Mus musculus: one gene and its partners. The protein of the gene in region 3 interacts with the protein of the main gene of each other region in a pairwise test. Links are inferred from orthologs where the notes say so. Each region holds a gene or a part of one and is shown on either strand. Other genes may lie near its edges.

The links. The genes of interacting proteins can lie anywhere in the genome.
Region 1: the proteins of Lzts2 (region 3) and 9930104L06Rik interact in binary tests that used the Homo sapiens proteins (3 or more experiments, as listed by UniProt). The two-hybrid records come from large-scale screens. The link is inferred for Mus musculus from reciprocal best matches to the Homo sapiens genes LZTS2 and AIRIM.
Region 2: the proteins of Lzts2 (region 3) and Zgpat interact in binary tests that used the Homo sapiens proteins (3 or more experiments, as listed by UniProt). The two-hybrid records come from large-scale screens. The link is inferred for Mus musculus from reciprocal best matches to the Homo sapiens genes LZTS2 and ZGPAT.

Annotation. Positions count from the first base shown.
Region 1 is NC_000070.6:124,935,636-124,939,847, forward strand, and holds the start of 9930104L06Rik (uncharacterized protein C1orf109 homolog), read left to right. Parts: upstream 1-1,412; 5' UTR 1,413-1,698; intron 1,699-2,804; 5' UTR 2,805-2,807; coding exon 2,808-3,082; intron 3,083-4,212. Other genes in the region: Cdca8 (borealin), read right to left, coding at 720-848, 954-1,047. UniProt on the Homo sapiens protein: Part of the 55LCC heterohexameric ATPase complex which is chromatin-associated and promotes replisome proteostasis to maintain replication fork progression and genome stability.
Region 2 is NC_000068.7:181,364,216-181,368,222, forward strand, and holds the start of Zgpat (zinc finger CCCH-type with G patch domain-containing protein), read left to right. Parts: upstream 1-1,207; 5' UTR 1,208-1,456; coding exon 1,457-2,037; intron 2,038-4,007. Other genes in the region: Arfrp1 (ADP-ribosylation factor-related protein 1), read right to left, coding at 96-183, 390-482. UniProt on the Homo sapiens protein: Transcription repressor that specifically binds the 5'-GGAG[GA]A[GA]A-3' consensus sequence. Represses transcription by recruiting the chromatin multiprotein complex NuRD to target promoters.
Region 3 is NC_000085.6:45,021,135-45,024,369, reverse strand, and holds part of Lzts2 (leucine zipper putative tumor suppressor 2), read right to left. Parts: intron 2,984-3,235; 5' UTR 2,942-2,983; coding exon 2,534-2,941; intron 2,533-2,533; exon of another isoform or gene 2,100-2,532; intron 829-2,099; coding exon 166-828; intron 1-165. UniProt on the Homo sapiens protein: Negative regulator of katanin-mediated microtubule severing and release from the centrosome. Required for central spindle formation and the completion of cytokinesis.

The DNA.
Region 1 (4,212 bases), on a different chromosome or scaffold from region 3:
AGAAATCAAACTCATCACGGCTCTTTTGGAACTGTAACAGAAATGCAGTTCCAGAACTCAAGACTGTTTGTTACCTGGCCTGCTAAGGACAGTGGTTTGCCTACCACTGGCCTGGCTGGATGGCAGGCAGTTTCCAGTGGGGCTGAGCAGTAGGGTCTCCCCAAAAGATGGATGTGTTCTCCCAAAACACTCCCCCTGGATACAGAGATGCTGAGAAGACATGATGCGTCCTGCTCTTACAGTCCTCTCCCTCCGCTGTTAAGCTGCAGGACAACTCTTACTGTCCTACTGAGCGACTGCATCCCTGCCTATTGGCAGGTAGGCTAGCATAGGTTAGGTCATGTCAGTGCGGAACAGCCTCCCCCAACCCCTGAAAAACCTTCAATTATCAGCTCACTTTGTACTATAGATTTGAGATCTCGGCCTCGCCCCTCTTCCTTCAGGCCTCCATCATTCTATTTCTGGTATATCTCTTCTAAAGCTCTCCCATTCAAACGTGAAGGTGAGATGCACTGTCCTAATAGCGCTCATCTGAAGGGTAATTCATGCCTACTTCTTTCCTATGGGCCCACCATTCTTTTATAAGTTATGACAGATGGCAATTTCCTACCGGTGGTTATTTTAGACCTTATTAAGAAGGGGACATCTGAATGAGTCCCTACAATAAGCTTTCAAGATAAGCACTCGTTGGTCACGGGGAAAACGCTAGCAGCTCTTACCGAAGTAGTCAAGCCACTTCATCCCTTGCAGCGCCTTGGGGAGCCGAAGGATCTCGATGTTGTACAGATTTTCCACCTCCTTGAGGAGGGTCTGTCTGTCGGACTCAATTTGCTTGGTTCGAACTTGCACTGCAAAGAGGTGAAAGCGGACGGATCCCGCGTCAGGTGTGCGAAGCCGTCGCATCCGCGTCCCAACCCACCCAAAACCCACGATCACGCGAATCCACCCCTTACCCTCGCGGTCGAAGTCCTTCAGGAAGGAGGCGAGCTTCCGGCTCCGCAGCGTGTTGGTCCTGGTTCCGCGGCTGCTGCGTTTCTTGGGAGCCATGGCGCCTGGCTGCGTCGAGCGAGGGGCCAAGCAGCCGGCTCCGCGACTGAGACGGGGAGAGGGTGTGAGCGGTCGGAGAGCTGAGAAAGTTCAGTCGTTGGAGTCTAGGTTTCCAGAACTCTGCCGAAACCTACCTGCAGGTCCCAAAACACAGTCTGAGGAACCCTCACAGCTCCAACTAAGGGACGGGCGGCTCCTCGGTTAACCGCCACCCAATTCAAACTCAACGGGCACAGCCTAGCCAATAGCAAATCGCCGTCTTAGGACGGTTCTCACCACGCCCAATCACAATAAAGCTTCTTCTCCTTCCGCCAGCCAATCCTCATGGAGGACTTCAATGCCCAGATGTCATTGCGGCACACGCCATCTTTTCGCGACTCCAGAGTCGTGCTAACTGGAAGTAGAGTGGTGAGTTCGTTCTTGTGAATAAGCGCGGTGTAGTTTTTGATGTACTCAGCGTTGACATCGCAGGATTTACGTTTTCCTGTTGATTTAGGGCTGGAAATCTTAAAGAGAGGCGACAAGACTGACTCCAGAAGCACAGGTCCCGGAACAGACAGACCCCAGAGACTCGCAGTCTAAAGCAGATTGCCCTGTCGTGAAGAAACCCCTTCGGAAGACCCGAAGCAACGGTCTTCCTGCAGAGAGAAGGTAAGAGGACCGCCAGAATCAATATTCTTGAGTGTCCGCGGTTACAAGACAGAGACACAGCTCCACTCTGCAGCGTGGGGAGTTGCCCTAGCCTTTTAAGGACTTGAGCTCAGTTGATGGCCCTGACGCTGAAAAGAACTCAGCACTAGCTGAGCTCAGTTGATGGCCCTGACGCTGAAAAGAACTCAGCACTAGCTGATTTATGAAGCAGAGTTACATGAACATATTTGCTACGGGGCCTCACCATATAACGCTGGCTATCTTGGAAGTCTCTGTGTATACTAGTTTGGCCTCGAACTCACAGAGATCTGCTTGTTTCTGTCTTTCCAGTGCTAGGATTAAAGATGCATTCGACAACTCCCAGCCTATGGCTGTTTTAAATACAGGCATAAGCACAAGAATTAAGAGAGAGAGGCAGGCACCTAGGCATAAAAGACACTTGCATGCTCCTCAGAGAATCTCAGAAAGTTAGACATAGCCACGTGGGTATGAGATTCTCTAGGGAGATCAGCAGTTGATTTTCTTTCTTTTCCCCCAGTTTCTTGAGACCAGGCTGGCCTCAAACCCAAAACCCGGCTCTGCTTCCAGAGGGCTGGAATTAAAGTCATGTTACATTAGCCACAATTACTTATTTTGGTGGCTTTCAGTTTACATCTCAAAAGGGTTTCTAAAAACCCTTGTGACTCCCTTCAAACAAGAAGTTGTTTGATAAGAGAAGTAAGTGAGGTGGCTTTCAAGATTCTTTGATGGTATTAAATCCTACAGATGTAAATGGGGTAGTGTGTGTCCTTTCTCTGTAAATGGGATTCCTGGTGAGATTTCTAGAACATGGAAGATTTACAGCAGGAAGGAAGAAAGGCTGTTCACAGTTGGTAAGTGTACTTGCAGGAATTCTTCCTTCATTGTTGGCTGAAGGTGTCAGCCCACTTCCAGGACTAGGAGTTCTTGTTTGTGTCCCCCAAAGTCTCCCTACCTTTCATTATTGCCTTGGGACTATTTGAAGACCAACAGCTGGTCTTCTCCTGAGGTCGGAAATGACGCAGCCTTGATGCAGGCCCTCCCTTCTGGTACCCTGACTCCCTTTTGTTTTGTTTATTTTTTCCCAGAAAATGGCTCATGACCAGCCTCTGCTGGTTGTGCAGGAGGCCCTGAGGAAGTGCTTCCCTGTGGTGGAGGAACAGCAGAACCTGTGGCAGAGCACCCTGCAGGACTGCTCGCCCCTCCTGTCCTCTCTCAGTAACCTGGCTGAGCAGCTGCAAGCCGCACAGAGTCTGCGCTTTGAGGATGTGCCAGCCCTGCGTCCCTTTCCAGACTTACAGGAGCGGTTGAGGCGCAAGCAGCTGGAGGCTGGTGACGTTGTTCTGGACAAGCTAGCTGAGCGGCTGTAAGAGGCTCTGTTGTCCCCCTTTGTTGATGGACAGATCTTAATGCCGCATGGCATCCCAGCCTCAGTCAGGGGGTCCTACAGAAATCGACAAAAGCAAGTCAGGAGTAATCATGCTGGAGCTAAGTTGAATGTCTGTGAGTTCGAGGCCAGCCTGGACTACATTGTAAGACCATGCATGTCTTTAAAACAAAACAAAACAACCCAAATCAGGCCAGGTGTTTAATCTCAGCACTAAGGAGGCATATACAAGCAGATCTCTGAGTTCAAGGCCAGTCTGGTCTACATAGAGAGTTCCAAGGCAACCAGGGCTACACAGATAAACCCAGTCTCAAAATAAATAAGTAAGTAAACAAACAAATAAATAAAAATAACCCCAAACCAACTAAATAAATGGAAGAAATTACAAAAGCAGAAAAGAAGAGGGTGGCGAGGAGTGCAGCCCTCTTCTGTCGTTGTCCTTGGTGTACTGCAGTTCAGGGAGAGCTGGGAGTAAGGACTGTGTGTCCGGGACCTTGTACACCTCTGCCTTATACCTGTCTATGCACTTGGAAGCAAGAAAAGGGAAACTCAAACTGATTGTCCTGATCACAGAGTCCGTGAGAAATAGAGCCAGGAATCTGAAGTGGGCCTGCCACTTAAGCTGGGGCTTCTTACCACCACCTGGTTCTACACACAAGTGGATACATGTGTAACTAAGTAGCCCAAGAAACAGTAACAACACAGGTGTTACACAGATACTCTGTTTTCTGCTTTTTTTTTTTTTTTTTTTTTTTTTTTTGGTTTTTTTGGAGACAGGGTTTCTCTGTATAGTCCTGGCTGTCCTGGAACTCACTTTGTAGACCAGGCTGGCCTCGAACTCAGAAATCCGCCTGCCTCTGCCTCCTGAGTGCTGGGATTAAAGGTGTGCGCCACCACACCCGGCTTCTGCTTGTTCTTGATGTTAGTCATCGACTATAAGCAGGTCTTACACACTTGAGGATTTTGGATTGTTTCCTGTTTTTACACCATAAGCCACAGTAGGATATTTAGAGCTAGCGTTCTGGGCTAGAGGATCCCTTGTCCATTGGGAAGTTGCAGCCTTTGTTTTAGTGATGGGTTCCTTAGAGTCAGCATTCGAATACTATGTA
Region 2 (4,007 bases), on a different chromosome or scaffold from region 3:
ACAGGGTTTTGACCACTGGTCAGCTGGGTTGTGGACCTTACAGCATCCATCTCTAAGGGACCTCCTAAGATCATATCCCTAAGGTGCCCCCTTACTGTTTAGACCCACGGTAGTGGTGATTTTGGATAGACTCATCCCCTTGTAGTTCTTGTTAAAGCGTGTTTTTGACTGTTCCAGGAAAGTCTGAGGAAAAAAAGAGAGGGGGTTAGATAGCAGCAGCTAGAGTAGTTTTCTGGTGTCCTTCCCACCTATCCCTTCACACCCATGCAGCCATGCACGCCTCTGCCTGTGGCTTGATCTTCAGGAGGCTGGTGACTACTAACCTGTAGCCTTGGGGCGGGGGTTAGATCAGGCAGGGAATGGGAACTGGTGAGAGAGCAGGGACCTACCGTCTTCCCAGCATTGTCCAGGCCCAGGATCAGGATGCAGTATTCATCCTTCTGGAACATGTACTTGTACAATCCCGAAAGCAGCGTGTACATCCTGTTCTGGCACCCTGAGAGATGTCAATGTGTGTACCGGGGGCATCGGCCTCCTGCCCTGCCCGCTTCATCAGCGGTCCGCCTCTCCTGCTAGTTTTCAAATGTGTAGCCTCGCGGATCCTGACTCTTCGCCCCCATCCCGCCTCTTCTGTTAAAATCCCTGACCCTGATTCCCCCGATGCCATCGCTGACCACGTGCTAGACCTGGGCCACTCCCACTTAATGTCATCTTTCATAATGCACCATCAATTCGGAGTCCTGAAAAGCCCGTGGCGGCCTGCTCTGCTCCGCCTTCCTAAGGCTCCTCTTTCCGAACCCTCAACTCAGAACCAGGAAACGCGGCCGGCGACTTAAGTCTAGGAAGCGACCAGAGAGGCAGAGCTCCTGAGGAGGGTCGGCTTCGGCTTCCCGCCGCCGCCGGGCCCACGGAGCCTGGGAACCAGCAGCTGAAGCCACTTCCGTCCCCCTGTTCCAGGACTTTAGAACCCCGGCCCCTCAGTCCAGCTGAGGCCCACCCGTACCTGCTCAGATCTTGGAGGAGGAGCCGCCGCCGCCGCCGCCGCCGCCGCCGCGTTCCTAACCCCACCGACCTCACGCTGACCCCTCACAGTGCCTGACGGAACAAGGAGCGAAGGACGGAGCACGGGCGGAATCGCATCCCAGCGGCCCCCGCGCGCAGGTACTTCCGGCAGCTTCGGCTCTCCGGCGGAAGTGCCCGGCGGAGGGCAGAAGGCTAGCGCGTGAGCTTGGCTGGCGAGGGCGGAAGCCCTTCTAGCCTGCGAGCGCCGGCCGGAGGTGGGGTTGCGGGCCGCAGAGGACGGGGCGGGTGACGTGCAGGTCCCCCTCGGCGGAACCGCGGCCCTCCTCAGGCTCCCTAGCGGTTTTGGGGGCGGCGTTGCCCTGAGTTGTTCTTACTGCTCTTCCTCCTGTTTTTGTCTGCGGTAAAGGTTCCGAATCCTGCCTGCTGGGTCGGGATGGACGAGGACAACCTAGAGACTGCCCTGCAGACCTACCGGGCCCAGCTGCAGCAGGTAGAGCTGGCGCTCGGTGCTGGCCTAGACGCTTCTGAGCAGGCGGACCTGCGTCAGCTGCAGGGCGATCTAAAGGAGCTGATTGAGCTCACCGAGGCCAGCCTGTTGTCGGTCAGAAAGAGCAAGCTGCTGTCTACAGTGGACCAGGAGAGCCCAGCTCAAGAGGATGCTGAGTACCTGGCTTTCCAGAAGGCCATTGCGGAGGAAGTGGAAGCGCCCGGCGCCCCCTGCAATGACTCGGAGACGGCCCCTGGGAGCGAGGTGCAGCCGGGATCCACCTCCTCTGCACTGGAGGAGGAGGAGGAGGACCCAGATCTGGAGGAACTGAGCGGTGCTAAAGTGAATGCCCCCTACTACAGCGCTTGGGGCACGCTGGAGTATCACAACGCTATGGTAGTGGGCGCCGAAGAGGCGGAGGATGGTTCTGCGTGCGTCCGAGTCCTCTACCTATACCCTACCCACAAGTCCCTGAAGCCCTGTCCGTTCTTCCTGGAGGGAAAGTGCCGGTTCAAGGAGAACTGCAGGTAAAACCCTCTGCTGCTAGCAATGAAGGGCACGCAGTCGGGACCACCGCTGTGGCCTGTCGCCACAACTAGTTTGGCACCCAGCAGAGTTGGTAATAGAGTCCAAACCTTAGGTGACTGACAGGCTTTTACAGAAGTGTTCTCCGTGTGTTTACTTAGATTTTTCTTGCATACATCAAGAAGTTTGAAAGAGCTTATGTTGAAAAGATAGGGCAATCCTTCATCAATATTCTTCTCCAAGGTGTAAAACTTTTTTTTTCCCCTTTGAGATAGCAGTGTAGTAACTCTCGATGTCCTTGAATTCTTGATCCGTCAGCAACTCTACTACATCCTGAACGCCTTCAGTTTCCAAATGCTAGGATTACAGGTGGAGGCCACCACTTCTACTGGGCTACATCTCCAGCTCGGAACCTTTTTTCTTTTTTTCTCTTTTTAAAAATTTATTGACTATGCTGAGGATGGAATTAGGGCCTCCAGCACACCAGGCAACCAACTACTGTACACCTTAGCCCCATCCCAGCTCCTGTAGTTTGCATAGTCTTACAGAAAATTTCAAACACATAATCTCTTGCTGACTTGCCCTACCTTCCCCCCCACCCCCCGTGCTACTTGAAAGCACCTTTCACAAGTTACATCTTTTTCTCTCACCCTCAAATACTTCAGAATGTAGCTGAAATAATAATTACTAAAACTGATTTATGTCTTTTTTTTTTTTTAACTCAGTCATCCAGAATAACCCTCTAGTACTTTGAATTTATTTATTTTAGGCCACTAAAATAAAAAGATTTGTTCTATTATAATGGTAGTAGTGAACTAAAATTAGTTTCACTTGGCAGGATTTTAGGCAGGGCTAGAGCCTTGGAAGTCTGAGGGCAGAATCCAGAACCCATTTCTTTGTCCATTTTTCTTTAAGGTTGTTATTATTATTTTATTTTGATTTTTAAAAAAATATATTTTAAAGATTTATTTATTTTGCTGGGCATTGGTGGCGCACACCTTTGATCCCAGCACTTGGGAGGCAGAGGCAAGCAGATTTCTGAGTTCGAGGACAGCCTGGTCTACAGAGTGAGTTCCAGGACAGCCAGGGCTACACAGAAAAACCCTGTCTGGAAAAACCAAAAAAAAAAAAAAAATTATTTATGTATGTGAGCACACTGTTGCTCTCTTCAGACACATGAGAGGAGGGCATCAGCTCTCATTGCAGATGGTTGTGAGCCACCATGTGGTTGCTGGGAATTGAACTCAATACCTCTGGAAGAGCAGTCAGTGCTCTTAACCACTGAGCCATCCCTCCAGCCCCTTATTTTGACTTATTTATTTTTTACTTTTTTAATGTTTTTCTCTAAAGATCCATCGGTTGCTTTTGTCTCATTTTGTTTTGGTAAGGTGGTTTGATACATGGTCTCTATGTAATCCTGGCTGTCCTGGACTACATACAGCTATGAAAGGCCTTGGCTGGCCTTGAACTCACTACCGAAAGGCTGGGATTAAAAGTTTGCACCATGGCCTGACTATTTTAGGCTTTTTTGAGACAGAGTTTCTCTAGTAGTCCTGGTGGATTTCCTGGAACTTACTATATAGATCTGGCTAGCCTGGAACTCAGAGGCATGCACTACCATTTCTGGCTAAGATATATTTTTAGTTAGTGTGTTTGTGTGTGTGTGTGTGTGTACGTGTGTACGTGTGTACGTGTGTACAGGTGCCAGAAGAGGGTATAGGATCTCCTAGAGCTGGCGTTCCAGGTGGTGGTGGTGACCTGCCGAACATAGATCCTGGAAAACAAACTCAGGACTTCTACAAGAGCAGTATCCTCTCAGCCACTGAGCCATTTCTCTAGCTCTATGTATTTACATTTATCTTTAGATTGCGGTGGGGGTGGGGCATGTGTACAGGTAGGTGCCCAAGAAAGCTAGAAGAAGGTGTTGGATCTCCTAAAGCTGGAATTGCTCACAGAAAACATTAACCACTGA
Region 3 (3,235 bases):
GCTGGGTCCAATTCCTATATACCCTGCCTCCTCACCGCTTTGAAGGTTAAGCTAACCAACCTTGGGGGGGAGGGGTGTCACACCAGGAGTCTTGACCCTCTCCCTCCCCAACAGCAACGCTCTGGGTATTCAGCCCCACGGCCCCAGGACTGCCATTGGCCGCACCTGACACACTGTGGCCTCACTCTCATCCATACTGTCCCGCAGCTGCTGCAGCTCTGCCTCGCGGTCTCTGAGCTTCCCTTCCAGGACACAGTGTAGCAAGGCCTCATCCGAAGGGGGTGGAGGTGGTGGAGGGGGTGGAGAGCGGTCTCCACCAGAACTGCTGCCAGGGGAGGCCCGGGCACCACTGCCCAAGAGCCCCCCAGCTACACGACCCCCCAAGGAGCCCGTGCTTTTGCTGGAGGAGGACCGGCCACTGTCTGAATGGGAGGGCCCAGTAGGGACCCCTCGGGCTGGACCAGGCAGTGCCCCTCGGCCAGGGCCGTGGGAGGGCAGGTGCCCACCTGGGGAGTTGGTGGTTGGCTCGGCACCTCCAGTGCTGTAGGTGGGCAAGCTGGATAAAGAATTTCGGCCAGAGTCTGACAGCGTTCCTGAAGGGCAGCCACTGGCCCAACCACTCAGTGCCAAGGGTTTGTCAGCAGCAGAGGAGGAAGAGGAAGAGGAGGAGGAAGAGGCTGGCCCCCCAAACAGCTGTGTCAGGCTGCCCTGGCTCCCAGATAGCCCAGCAGCTCGAGGACCAAGGAAGCCGGGTAGGGATGGCGCCCCCCGAGGTTTGGGTAGCACTGGCTTGAAGGCTGTTGGCCGGATCAGGATCTTCTCCATATTCTGAAATGAGGCACCAGTTGACACTGTGAGGGTGATCTGCCCAGTCCCTTGCCCTTTTTAAAATGTTATTTCTGTTGCTTTTCTGAGACAGGGTTTTACTTTACTGGCCCGAGCTCACTCACTTTGTATCCCCAAGCTAGGCTTGATCACAAGCAAGGTTTCTCTGCCTTTTAAGATTACAGGGGTGGGTGGGGGGTGGGTGGGGGGTGGCTCAGCGGTTAAGAGCACTGACTGTTCTTCTGAAGGTCCTGAGTTCAAATCCCAGCAACCACATGGTGGCTCACAACCACCCGTAATGAGATCTGGTGCCCTCTTCTGGTGTGTTCAAAGACAGCTACAGTGTACTTATGTATAATAATAAATAAATCTTTAAAAACAAAACAAAAACAAACAAACAAAAAAAGATTACAGGGTGTGTGCCGGGCAGTGGTGGTGCACGCCTTTAATCTCAGCACTTGGGAGGCAGAGGCAGAGGCAGGCAGATTTCTGAGTTCGAGGCCAGCCTGGTCTACAGAGTGAGCTCCAGGACAGCCAGGATTATACAGAGAAACTCTGTCTCCAAAAACCAAAAACCAAACCAAACCAAACCAAACAAAAACCAAGATTACAGGTGTGTCATACCAAGCCCAGTTTGCTTGCTTGATCTTTCAAAACACTAACGTGTGTAAGTTTGTGTGTGTGTGTGGTGTATATGTATGTTTTATGTGCATGAGTGTGCACGTGTGCACACACTGGTGACTGGTGACTGCGTGTGAAGAGACCAAATGTCAAAGTCAGGTGTTTTCCTCAATTACTTTCCACCTAATTTGTTATACAGCCTCTGAACCTGGAGTTCACCAACCCAGCCAGCCTGACTGGCCAGCCAGCCCCAGGGATCTGCCTGTCTCTGCCCGTCAAGTGCTGAGATTCCAGTCCTTTGCCACAATGGCCAACTTCTTACAGGGTACTGGGGATCTGAACTCAGGTTCTTGTGTTTATGCAGCAAGCATCTCACCCACTTTGCTATCTCTTCAAGCCTCAAACCTTGATCTTTCAAAACTGTCACACTACTCGATTCCCCATACAGGGTCCTCAAGTCCTATAAATTAAAAACAACTCTTCCCTCTAGCAGCAAGTTTCTAATTGCCTACTTACATTAAGTAATTCAAAATGCTCATTTTTTAATCATAATAGCTACACAAACAAAACATGATCCTCTTCTCATATTAAAAACAAGGATGTAGAGGCCCATAGTAAAGTTAAAGGTTTTGCCCAAGGACACATACACACACCTCTGAATAATTGAAGCAACTAGGCTGGAGGTGGTAACAAATGCCTTTAATCCTAGCCCTCGGGAGGCAGAAGCAAGCAGATCTCTGTGAGTTCGAGGCCAGCCTGGTCTGCACAGTGAGTTCCAGGACAGCCAAGGCTACAGAGAGAAACCATGTCTCAAAAAACAAAATAAAACTAACTCAGACAATTACTATATTGTTCATTTGAGGTTGCTGGGTACTTTACTATGTATTAATTCTAACAGGAACCTACAAAGATTAGCCTCTAACCGTAACCATAAAGACACAGAAAACGGGGCTCAGACAGGTTATTTCACTGTCTGAGTGGTAAGACAGAACCCATATTCTTTGCTCTACTGACGCTTCCAAATTCTAGCTTCCCTGAGGGGCTCCTGGCTTCCCACCCAGGTCCTCCCAAAAGGGCTGCCCGTTACCTTCTCCAGCTTTCCAGAGACAGGGATGAGCTTTGGTGGGGGCCCACGGAGGTGGGCATTGTGTGCCTGATGTTCCCGGGGATCTTCAACATCACTGCTGGGGCTGGGAGGAGACTCTGTCCGGAAGTCCTCATTGACATAGGTAAAGCTATTGCCTGGGACAGCCTTCCTCGGTGGCACAGCCGGGCAGAGCGGTTCCTGTGCCTCGTAGCCACCCGGTAGCAGCCCATCCTGCTGGCGGAAGAAGGTGGGCCCAGGGACACCATGATGTCGTTGAGGAGCAGGTCCCCCGGGGCAGGGCCGGCCTGAGATAAGACTGCTCACGCTGCCCATTGCTGGAGTTTTGGGGGCAGTGGCTGTCTCACGTGCGGGCTCCAGAGGCACTGGCAGAGTGTGCACAATGGCCATGGTGGCAGAGGCTCAGGTCTGGCCAGGGGCCTCCGGGGCAACCTGTGAGCAGGGCATTGGTGTCAGAGTCCCTGCACCTTGAGGATCCTCCCCCTATAAGCCTTCTCCTGACCCCCTCCTCCAGATAGAACATTCCCCATTTAGGAAAAAGGCTTCCCTTCCAAGAACTGGCATGAACCTCGAGTTCCTCTGGGCCTCAACTCTAGTCTGGAACAAGGCTAAGGAATAACTTGACCACACAGAGAGGAAGGAATGGGAGATCTAAACATTTATACAGGGTTCCTTGGCAGAGAA